Solanum lycopersicum: one gene and its partner. The protein of the gene in region 2 interacts with the protein of the main gene of each other region in a pairwise test. Links are inferred from orthologs where the notes say so. Each region holds a gene or a part of one and is shown on either strand. Other genes may lie near its edges.

The links.
Region 1: the proteins of protein CHROMATIN REMODELING 5 (region 2) and trihelix transcription factor ASIL2 interact in binary tests that used the Arabidopsis thaliana proteins (3 or more experiments, as listed by UniProt). The link is inferred for Solanum lycopersicum from reciprocal best matches to the Arabidopsis thaliana genes CHR5 and ASIL2.

The regions. Positions count from the first base shown.
Region 1 is NC_090802.1:66,860,544-66,865,010, forward strand, and holds the start of trihelix transcription factor ASIL2, read left to right. Parts: upstream 1-1,486; 5' UTR 1,487-2,576; coding exon 2,577-3,665; 3' UTR 3,666-3,704; intron 3,705-4,262; exon of another isoform or gene 4,263-4,278; 3' UTR 4,279-4,467. UniProt on the Arabidopsis thaliana protein: Transcription regulator that may repress the maturation program during early embryogenesis.
Region 2 is NC_090811.1:69,078,064-69,081,888, reverse strand, and holds part of protein CHROMATIN REMODELING 5, read right to left. Parts: intron 3,781-3,825; coding exon 3,337-3,780; intron 2,845-3,336; coding exon 2,620-2,844; intron 2,478-2,619; coding exon 2,394-2,477; intron 1,839-2,393; coding exon 1,779-1,838; intron 1,696-1,778; coding exon 1,592-1,695; intron 1,354-1,591; coding exon 1,302-1,353; intron 377-1,301; coding exon 313-376; intron 53-312; coding exon 1-52. UniProt on the Arabidopsis thaliana protein: DNA-binding helicase that specifically binds to the promoter of target genes, leading to chromatin remodeling, possibly by promoting deposition of histone H3.3. Probable chromatin remodeling factor.

The DNA of each region.
Region 1 (4,467 bases), on a different chromosome or scaffold from region 2:
CATTGAAACAGCAGATGGGATCTGGTCCATCTGGAGACTTACTGCATATCTATTTATCTACTATTTTACAAGTCTCACTTTGTCATGCAATTTGCTTACAATGTTTATATTTTTTTTTTTGATATTCTCCATTTTGCAGATCAAGAAATGGGAGGCATAGGTTATATAGGTGTAGCATAATGGAAGTTTTTACTAGACGTTGGAGTCATCTGAAGGAACATTGCAGAATGAACCACCATGAAGGCCTGTAATTATGCAGTTTAGTTTACAGTAGCTAATTCAGCCTGTGAGGATGAAGTTGCTTAAATTTGATTTCTCCACCATACCCCTCTGGAAAACATGTTTACTATAGTCATGTAAATTACCTCCTGATGCCAAAGAATGAGGTGAAGTTGTTTGTTTTCCCCTTTATCAAACAGGTTTTATGACGTTACAAATCACAAACGGTTTTTTTTTCAAGGATACCTGTAGACTTCACAATGATATCCTTTTGACGTTTTCTTTACAAGAGGTTCGTCTTGTAAGTAGAGGGATTTAGGTGACAAACACCCTAGCAGTCACCATATTAGCGATTTAGCTAAGCTTCTGCAATATTATCAATCATCATCTCAAAAGCTATGAGAATTTACAACGTATCATAAACATATATAATTAGTACAACTTTGATAGGCAAATTAGTCGTCTATATAAGCTAGTAACCTTCATTAGGTTATATTCCTTCATGAATAAGGATAATAAGAAGCTAAGGAATCATCATATTCCTTTTCTTATTGATCATGTTATGTTTTACTTAGAGTTGAAACTCTAACGAAAAGGGAATCTCTCTTCTTTTACAATGTAGGGGTAGAATTGTGTATACGTTGTTGTTAAATAATCCATCATATACTAGCATAAATAAATCTCACTGGGAGTCGATGCACACTTTAGGCAAATGCAGATGTTGATAGAGTAATAGTATAAAAGACATATATAGCATTAGAAAAAACAACAAACTAGTGATGAAAGATATATATAGCATAATAGTTTTTCAGTGTCGAATGTCATTAAAGTACTCTAATAAGATCATTTTAATAAAAACACATTTAACCAACAAAAACATACTATAAATGAAATCCAGGAAGAGTGGTGCGTACGCAACATTACAAACAGCTCATACAACTAAAATATAGAAAAGTGTAATATATTTTCTCTCTCATTGTTATGTCATCGGGGATGTAGCTCAAATGGTAGAGCGCTCGCTTTGCATGCGAGAGGCACGGGGTTCGATCCCCCGCATCTCCATATGGTAGATTCATTTTTTTCATACCTTGTTTTTTTTAATATATAACACATGTTGAATTCTTTTTTTTCTCATACTTCATAACGTATGTAAATCATTTCTTTCTCATACTTTATAACGTATGTTGAATTATTTTTTTCTCATACTTCATAACGTATGTAAATCATTTTTTTCTCATACTTTATAACGTATGTGAAATTATTTTTTTCTCATATCTTAACGTCTCTTGTGAGTGATGTGCATTATTTCTCTTATGTTGTCAATTTGAACTATTTCAAGCTAAACTTGAAAAATACAATAATTTAAAATTATATCAAGTTATCAATTCAAAGAATTTGGCAAGAGTAAAACTTGACCAAAAGAAGTTTATTTTTAAAATTTCTTCAAGACTTTATGACCAATAACATTTTATTATTTGAAAATAGCGAAATGATTCAAACACGTAATTAAGAAAGCATTATAGTTATGATATTATAATCTTACTTTTCGCTAATGATTGATCAAAAATTTTAGATCGAATTTTGAAAATATATCTTCAAATAGTTATTTGATTATGTAATTTGATCTTCAAATATTTCAATTTCCTCCAAAAAGTTTGGCTGTAGTTTTTTTTTTTCCGGTAGTTGTTATACACAAAACCTTTTTTGAAAAATCATGAAAATACATGTTCAAACATTACTTCAAATTTCAAAAATCAAAACTTCAAAAACCCAATAATTTTAGCTTCAAAATTTTCGATAAAACGAAAATTTACTTATCCTAAAACTTGTATTGTTTATATCTTAAGCCTTTTATTGAGATATCTTCACTAGTTTCACAAAATAAAATAACAACAACAACAATACTATGATCAATTTCATAAGTAATATTCAAAAAAGAAAAATGTGTAAATATCATATTCAATATCATCAAAGTAATTATAGTGTCCTGTTAATTATGTGATAATGTAAAATATTGGAATATTAACAAACCTTAAGCCGGCCTAATTGATCTTTACGCCGCCGGTGACGGATTTTCTGTAAAAGTAGTCGTCTTTCCCACCTATACCTGGCCGCCACGTGTCCTACTCCTCGGCACCCTAAGACCGACGCCGTTACACCATCCTCTGTTTCTTCGTCCACCGATAAATTGTCCAAAAAATAAAACTTTTACCCAAAACTAAACTCAATTACTAACCAAACAGTCCCTCCCCTCATTATATACCGCCGGTCAACCGAAACCCTAACCAAAAATTCCTTCTTCATCATCTTCTCACTCAACTCTCGGATCGGCGGCGCACCGGAATCGGTTAAAGTTTATGGAGAACGACGAAGAAACTCAGTCCGGTGGTTCTGGATCTCCGGAATCACCACGATCTAACGGGAGGATAACGGTGACGGTAGCATCAGCGCCTCCTCAGAACACCTTGACGTTGGCTCTACCGATACAGCAATCGAGACCTGCTGGAGCGTCTGGCGGCGGTGGAGGTAGTGGTGGTGGAAGGGAGGATTGTTGGAGTGAAGAGGCTACGGCTGTACTGATCGAGGCTTGGGGTGAGCGTTACATGGAATTGAGTAGAGGTAATTTGAAGCAGAAGCACTGGAAAGATGTTGCTGACATTGTTAGCAGTCGGGAGGATTATAGAAAAACGCCTAAAACTGATATTCAGTGCAAAAATCGAATTGATACTGTAAAGAAGAAATACAAGCTGGAGAAATCTAAGATCGCTGCGGGTCAAGGACCAAGCAAGTGGCCTTTCTTTGATAAGCTCGATATGTTGATAGGTCCGACGGCTAAGATCAATCCTACCGTCGCTGCCGGACCGTCTAATTTGTATTCAGGTAACCAACATGTGCCTATGGGTATTCCTATGGGAGTCAGGTCCCTTCCTCAGCTCCGACAACATCAACAGCTGCAGAAACAAAAGCAACCGTCCCGGAAAAGGCCTCACATGGATTCAGACACATCGGAATCGGAGTCTGAACCGGACCTTTCACCTGCTTCAACCGACAGCTTTCCTCCAGGCACATTTCAAAAAAAGAGACCAAGGTTTCAGAAGGAAATGCTGAATTCAAGCGCATTAAGGGGAGGAATTGGAGAAGCTAGTGGAAACAAGAATTGGGGGAATTCAGTGAGGGAGTTGACACAGGCAATACTAAAATTTGGGGAAGCATATGAACAAACAGAGACCGCGAAACTGCATCAAATGGTGGAGATGGAGAAGCAGAGAATGAAATTTGCGAAAGATATGGAATTGCAGAGAATGCAGTTCTTCATGAATACACAATTGGAAATTGCACAGCTTAAGCACAGGAGAAGTGAAAACAGCAACCATCACAGCAACAACCATGCTGCCGCCACCAGCAACCATAACAACAACAACAACAACAGTGATAACAGTATTTAAGGTGTAATAAAGATCCATGAGGCTCAGTATCTGACAGAGGTTTGTATTTGTAATGTGTTTAGTTTTACTGCTAAACTTCTTACTTCATTTGAAAACCAAGTGGTAGAATATTATATACTTCATTAATTCTCAATTGGAAGTTTATCTAACTCAACTAAGCTTTCCAACTTTGCCTTTACTTTTATACCATAGATTGACTTACATTTATTTGAACAACAATTAAATAGTCTTTTAACTTCTACAAACTCCATTTTGTTTATGGAGTTTAAGTTCATTGGCCTCATACAGCAACAACTTCGGTTTGCTCCCAACGATGAGAGTTCCTACTCGAGACTCAATCAAGGCTAATGTGTAAAAGGTGTTCTTGCTTTTATACAATGTTCCATAGAGTAATAGGTAGCTAAAATTAAGATAGAATAGGCCAGCACATCCTACCCTTCGGGTGGCCTAGTGATTTAGGCTTCGACTTCCATGTTGATCAATGTTTACCTGCATATAACAGGATGTGTTGCCTAATCCCAATCGTAGAAGGATTCCTTAATTGACAAAGTTTTCTTAATTAAACTTAAAGAAAATTGCTTTCCTTATTTAATTAAGGAAAATTGCGTGGAAGGTTTTCTGCTATTCAAGTCAACTGTGAGGAGGAGTTGTTGCAGTAACATAGCAAAGTTAAGGAGTTGAAGATGTGACACCTAAACTAAGTCGAAGAAGAAGTTCGAGTAGGAGTTGGGTTAAAGAAGTTTTTCTTTTTGCGGCAAAGACAAATAAGAAAAAGATTCCAAATTCAAGTTGAGTTTAAAGA
Region 2 (3,825 bases):
AGTTTCCCACCCTTTAACCATTCAGGCTGCTCTTCAAGCTTCCTCAAACTACCTAATAAGGTATCAGTTTTAAATTGAAAATGACATCAACATTCAACAGATAGCAAGAAGGAAGACAATGAACAATATTGTAAAGAAGACAGATGAGATGGGTGAGGCATGTATCTAATTTGCCTATAAGAGTTTATCTGAGACTAGAGACAACACAGAAAGAGATGCAAAAGTATGGAATGACGAGTTGAAATTGGAGGGGGCAGATGTTAATAACAGAATAAGAGGATGAGATTAGCTGGAAAGATAAGAAGGTAAAACCTCTGCTCTTTTTGCGCTGGAAATCCACTGATTTCCCTTGTACCATAATGGCAGCCTCACGAGCCTGCAAATTGCATAACAATTATACGTTCTCAGAAGCAAGATTCAATGATTCAAAAGTAATTTAGTAAACAAACCTTCTTGACCTTAAAAGCGTAAAGAAAATAAACCTTTCGCCAAACTCAACCCCAAAGCTCAGCTATGAGATGAGAATTGCCCATAACCATAAGGAATAATGGTCCCATTCCCTCGGGCACAGTCAATAACTCCCCCTCACACATCCATGGGCTGGAAAATATGACATGGACCCAACACTGGGTAACTACAAACAGGGATGGGTTTGATTCAAATACTGTGATAAGAAAATGAACCTTGGGCCCGATCCAAAAAGACTACAACTTCAACATATGTAGAACGCTTTAACACACAAATCCCCTCGGCTCTCGTGCACCCCCAAGATAGCATGGAGGTCCAACAATGGAAAATAAAAAAACGAGAACGGGTATGTCTCTGATGCAATGAAAAGAAATGGTAAGCTCATGAAGTAAGAATCTCCCAAGACTTCATATGTAGGAGACAACAGCCCATTCACTTAACCAATATGGGATACTCCAACAAACACAATCTTACTGGTCACTTATCAGAATATAAAAGTATTGTGCATCAGGAGAAGACCAATGTTTCCTATGTGATATCTTCTATAGATAAAATTGGTGGCACGCTGATTTCATTCATCAGATAAATGAAACAAGCAATTACTGTGTGCTCAAGTTTCTCAAACACTTCTCCAGAAACAATTACTATCCAAAAACATTCACTAATTATTTTCACACTATACACTCAATATGCATGATCATATACATAAACTATATCTATATATACACCATTACTTAAGGAAATGAAAGAGTTAATCAGTAATGCTACAGCATAGGAGGTGGATCCGAGAGGGATATCAAATATCCATAAAGCATATGCGAACAAATTGCTACCTTATACTCATCGATGGCATCTTGACCAAAAGCAATATCAACATCCTTCTCCCTGAGATAACATGAAGGAGACCCGCTAAGACTCAAGCTTCAATTGCAATTTATATTATTTGTCAGCAGATAAAACAAATAACAAACAATCCATGGCAGGCAGAGGTGAGAAAAGTCAAGTACACACAATTAATCAACCATTCTTCTCCAATTAAACCGCAAGAAACATTTTCTATGTAAAAAATGGCAGGATAAAAAGAACAAAGAAAATGATACAAGCGCACAAACAATCTGCATACCAAGTTGCTTCAGCATAAGACAGCCCTTTCCATTTAACTAAATATTCTGGCACCACATTACCATAACCATCTTTGCTGATTCTGTCTGCAATAACTCTCTCAACCTAAGTATGCATCAACCAAAATGAGCGTTAAGAGCTGTGTGAACTGTGCAATGAGGTGACAGAGATCTCTAAGAACAACAAACCTGACTGTTCAGTTTGATAATATCCAAGTCCATTTCCTTGCTCACGTCATTTACCTCGATCTAATGGACAACAGAAAAAAGGGTCCATAAGAGAGGAGGCTGTAAATAATTTGAAAAATAAAGCATGCAGTTAACTATAAAATTATCTCTTTGACACAAGCCAAATTATTATTTTTTATTTTTTTTGGGTGGGGGGGGGGGGGGGGGGGGGTTTACAGGAAACATCTACACAGTTAAACGGCAAGAAGCTCCTTCAACAAACTTTGAAACTTAAAACTGCAAAAGCAAAATGTCCCCCACCCAAAAAAGAAAGGAACAGAACAACCATCGCTCCATGAGTAGAGTGACTCCTCTTTCTCATCTATCAGAAATTTCAAATGTTCTCACAAGTCAGCTTCTCATTTCATGTCAGCTAAATAGCCGTGAAGGCGTGAACCATGCAAAAGTCATTAACAAATCAAATTTGAATCTATCTAAATTGTCTTTAAAATATTTCCACTAAACAACCACAAGCACACGTGAGAAACTAAAATAGCCCATGCAAGTCAAGTCCTTTCTACTGGACTAAGAAATATGTATCTCAGAGATTCTTGAGAAATGGTGCATAATTCTCACCTCCTCGCGGGATACAGTCTTCCTATACTTCACATCCTCCATGACCCTTTTAGTGTAATTCAAAACCTTCTTAAACCCACTAAGCTGCTCAAGCATGGAAAAAATCAAAGATAAAACTGAAATTAATCACTTCAATATATAGCTATCGTAACAGAATATGAAGTCTATCATACGAAAGTGTAGCAACATGAATTTGTTACTTGAATACAGATTTGAAAAGGCATACATTTTGTAGCTCAACAAATGACTTCCATTGACAATGCAAATGAGACTGGCCTTTCCATTTTATCAAGAACTCCATCTCATTCCAATCTGGTTCAGAGTCATACAAATGACTCAACAACATAGGATCAGCTGACTTGTTATTCATTGCAGCTTCTTCAGCCATGCCCTTTGGCTGATGCCATAAAACTTTCTCAATTGAGTCACAATCTTCCTCTTCAAGTTCTTCCTGTTGCATGAAATAATTGTTACACACTATCAATCAGGGCTAGAAAAGATAGAAAGGACATGAAAAGACTTGCTGATGTGAGATAATAAGCAAATATATCAAAAGCCATATTCACAAAGCACTAGCAATTTCATCAGGAACTTTTGTTTTTTAAAATGCAATTTCACCTGGCACATGCAATTGGTATGAAGGGCAAATGGCTCATGCATTTTCCAGTGAAAACGGTCAATGATATAAATGGCACATAAAGAAACTACAGTAAGAAGGTAAAGAAATTAAGATTCAAGCTATAAAATACATCCACCAGAACAAGTTCAAACAACGGAGGTTGATTTTGTTTTGGGCTGTCCCTGCATACTTTTGATGTAATTACGGAGTTGCACACTATTGATGTACTCCTTTGTTAATAATAACAGTTAACTTTCTCAAAAAAAAAAGTTCAAACGACAGACACACAGAAAAATGTAGTATGCATGGAACCGATGATAACACCTTTTGGCCCTTCTTTTGCTTGCTCTCATCGATTTCTTCACTTTCTTCACTCTCTGCATATGAAACCTTCCGAACTGACCGACGACTCGAAGTTCGGATTTCACTATTCCTGCCAGATACACTAGCAGCAGAAGATCTACCACTATTTTTAAGGCGGAGATTTGCAACTCTTCTAGGTTTATTTCCAAAATCCTCATCACTCTCGTTTTCAGAATCATGTTCTGATGATTCTTCCTCTTCATATGATGTTCTACCCCTTTTCTGTCGAGCAGATGTAGCAAGAGACCTAACTACTCTGGTAGATTTTACACTATGCCCACCCCTATTCTTTTGCTTGCCTTGGGATTTTCTGTAAAATTCTTCATCTTCATCGGAGATGCCCACCTCATCATCGTCACTGTTGACCTCATCAGACTCTCCACCCTCCCAGTCATCATCCTTGTCCTGTAACAGCAAAGCAAATATCAAGATCACTTGACAAATACAATT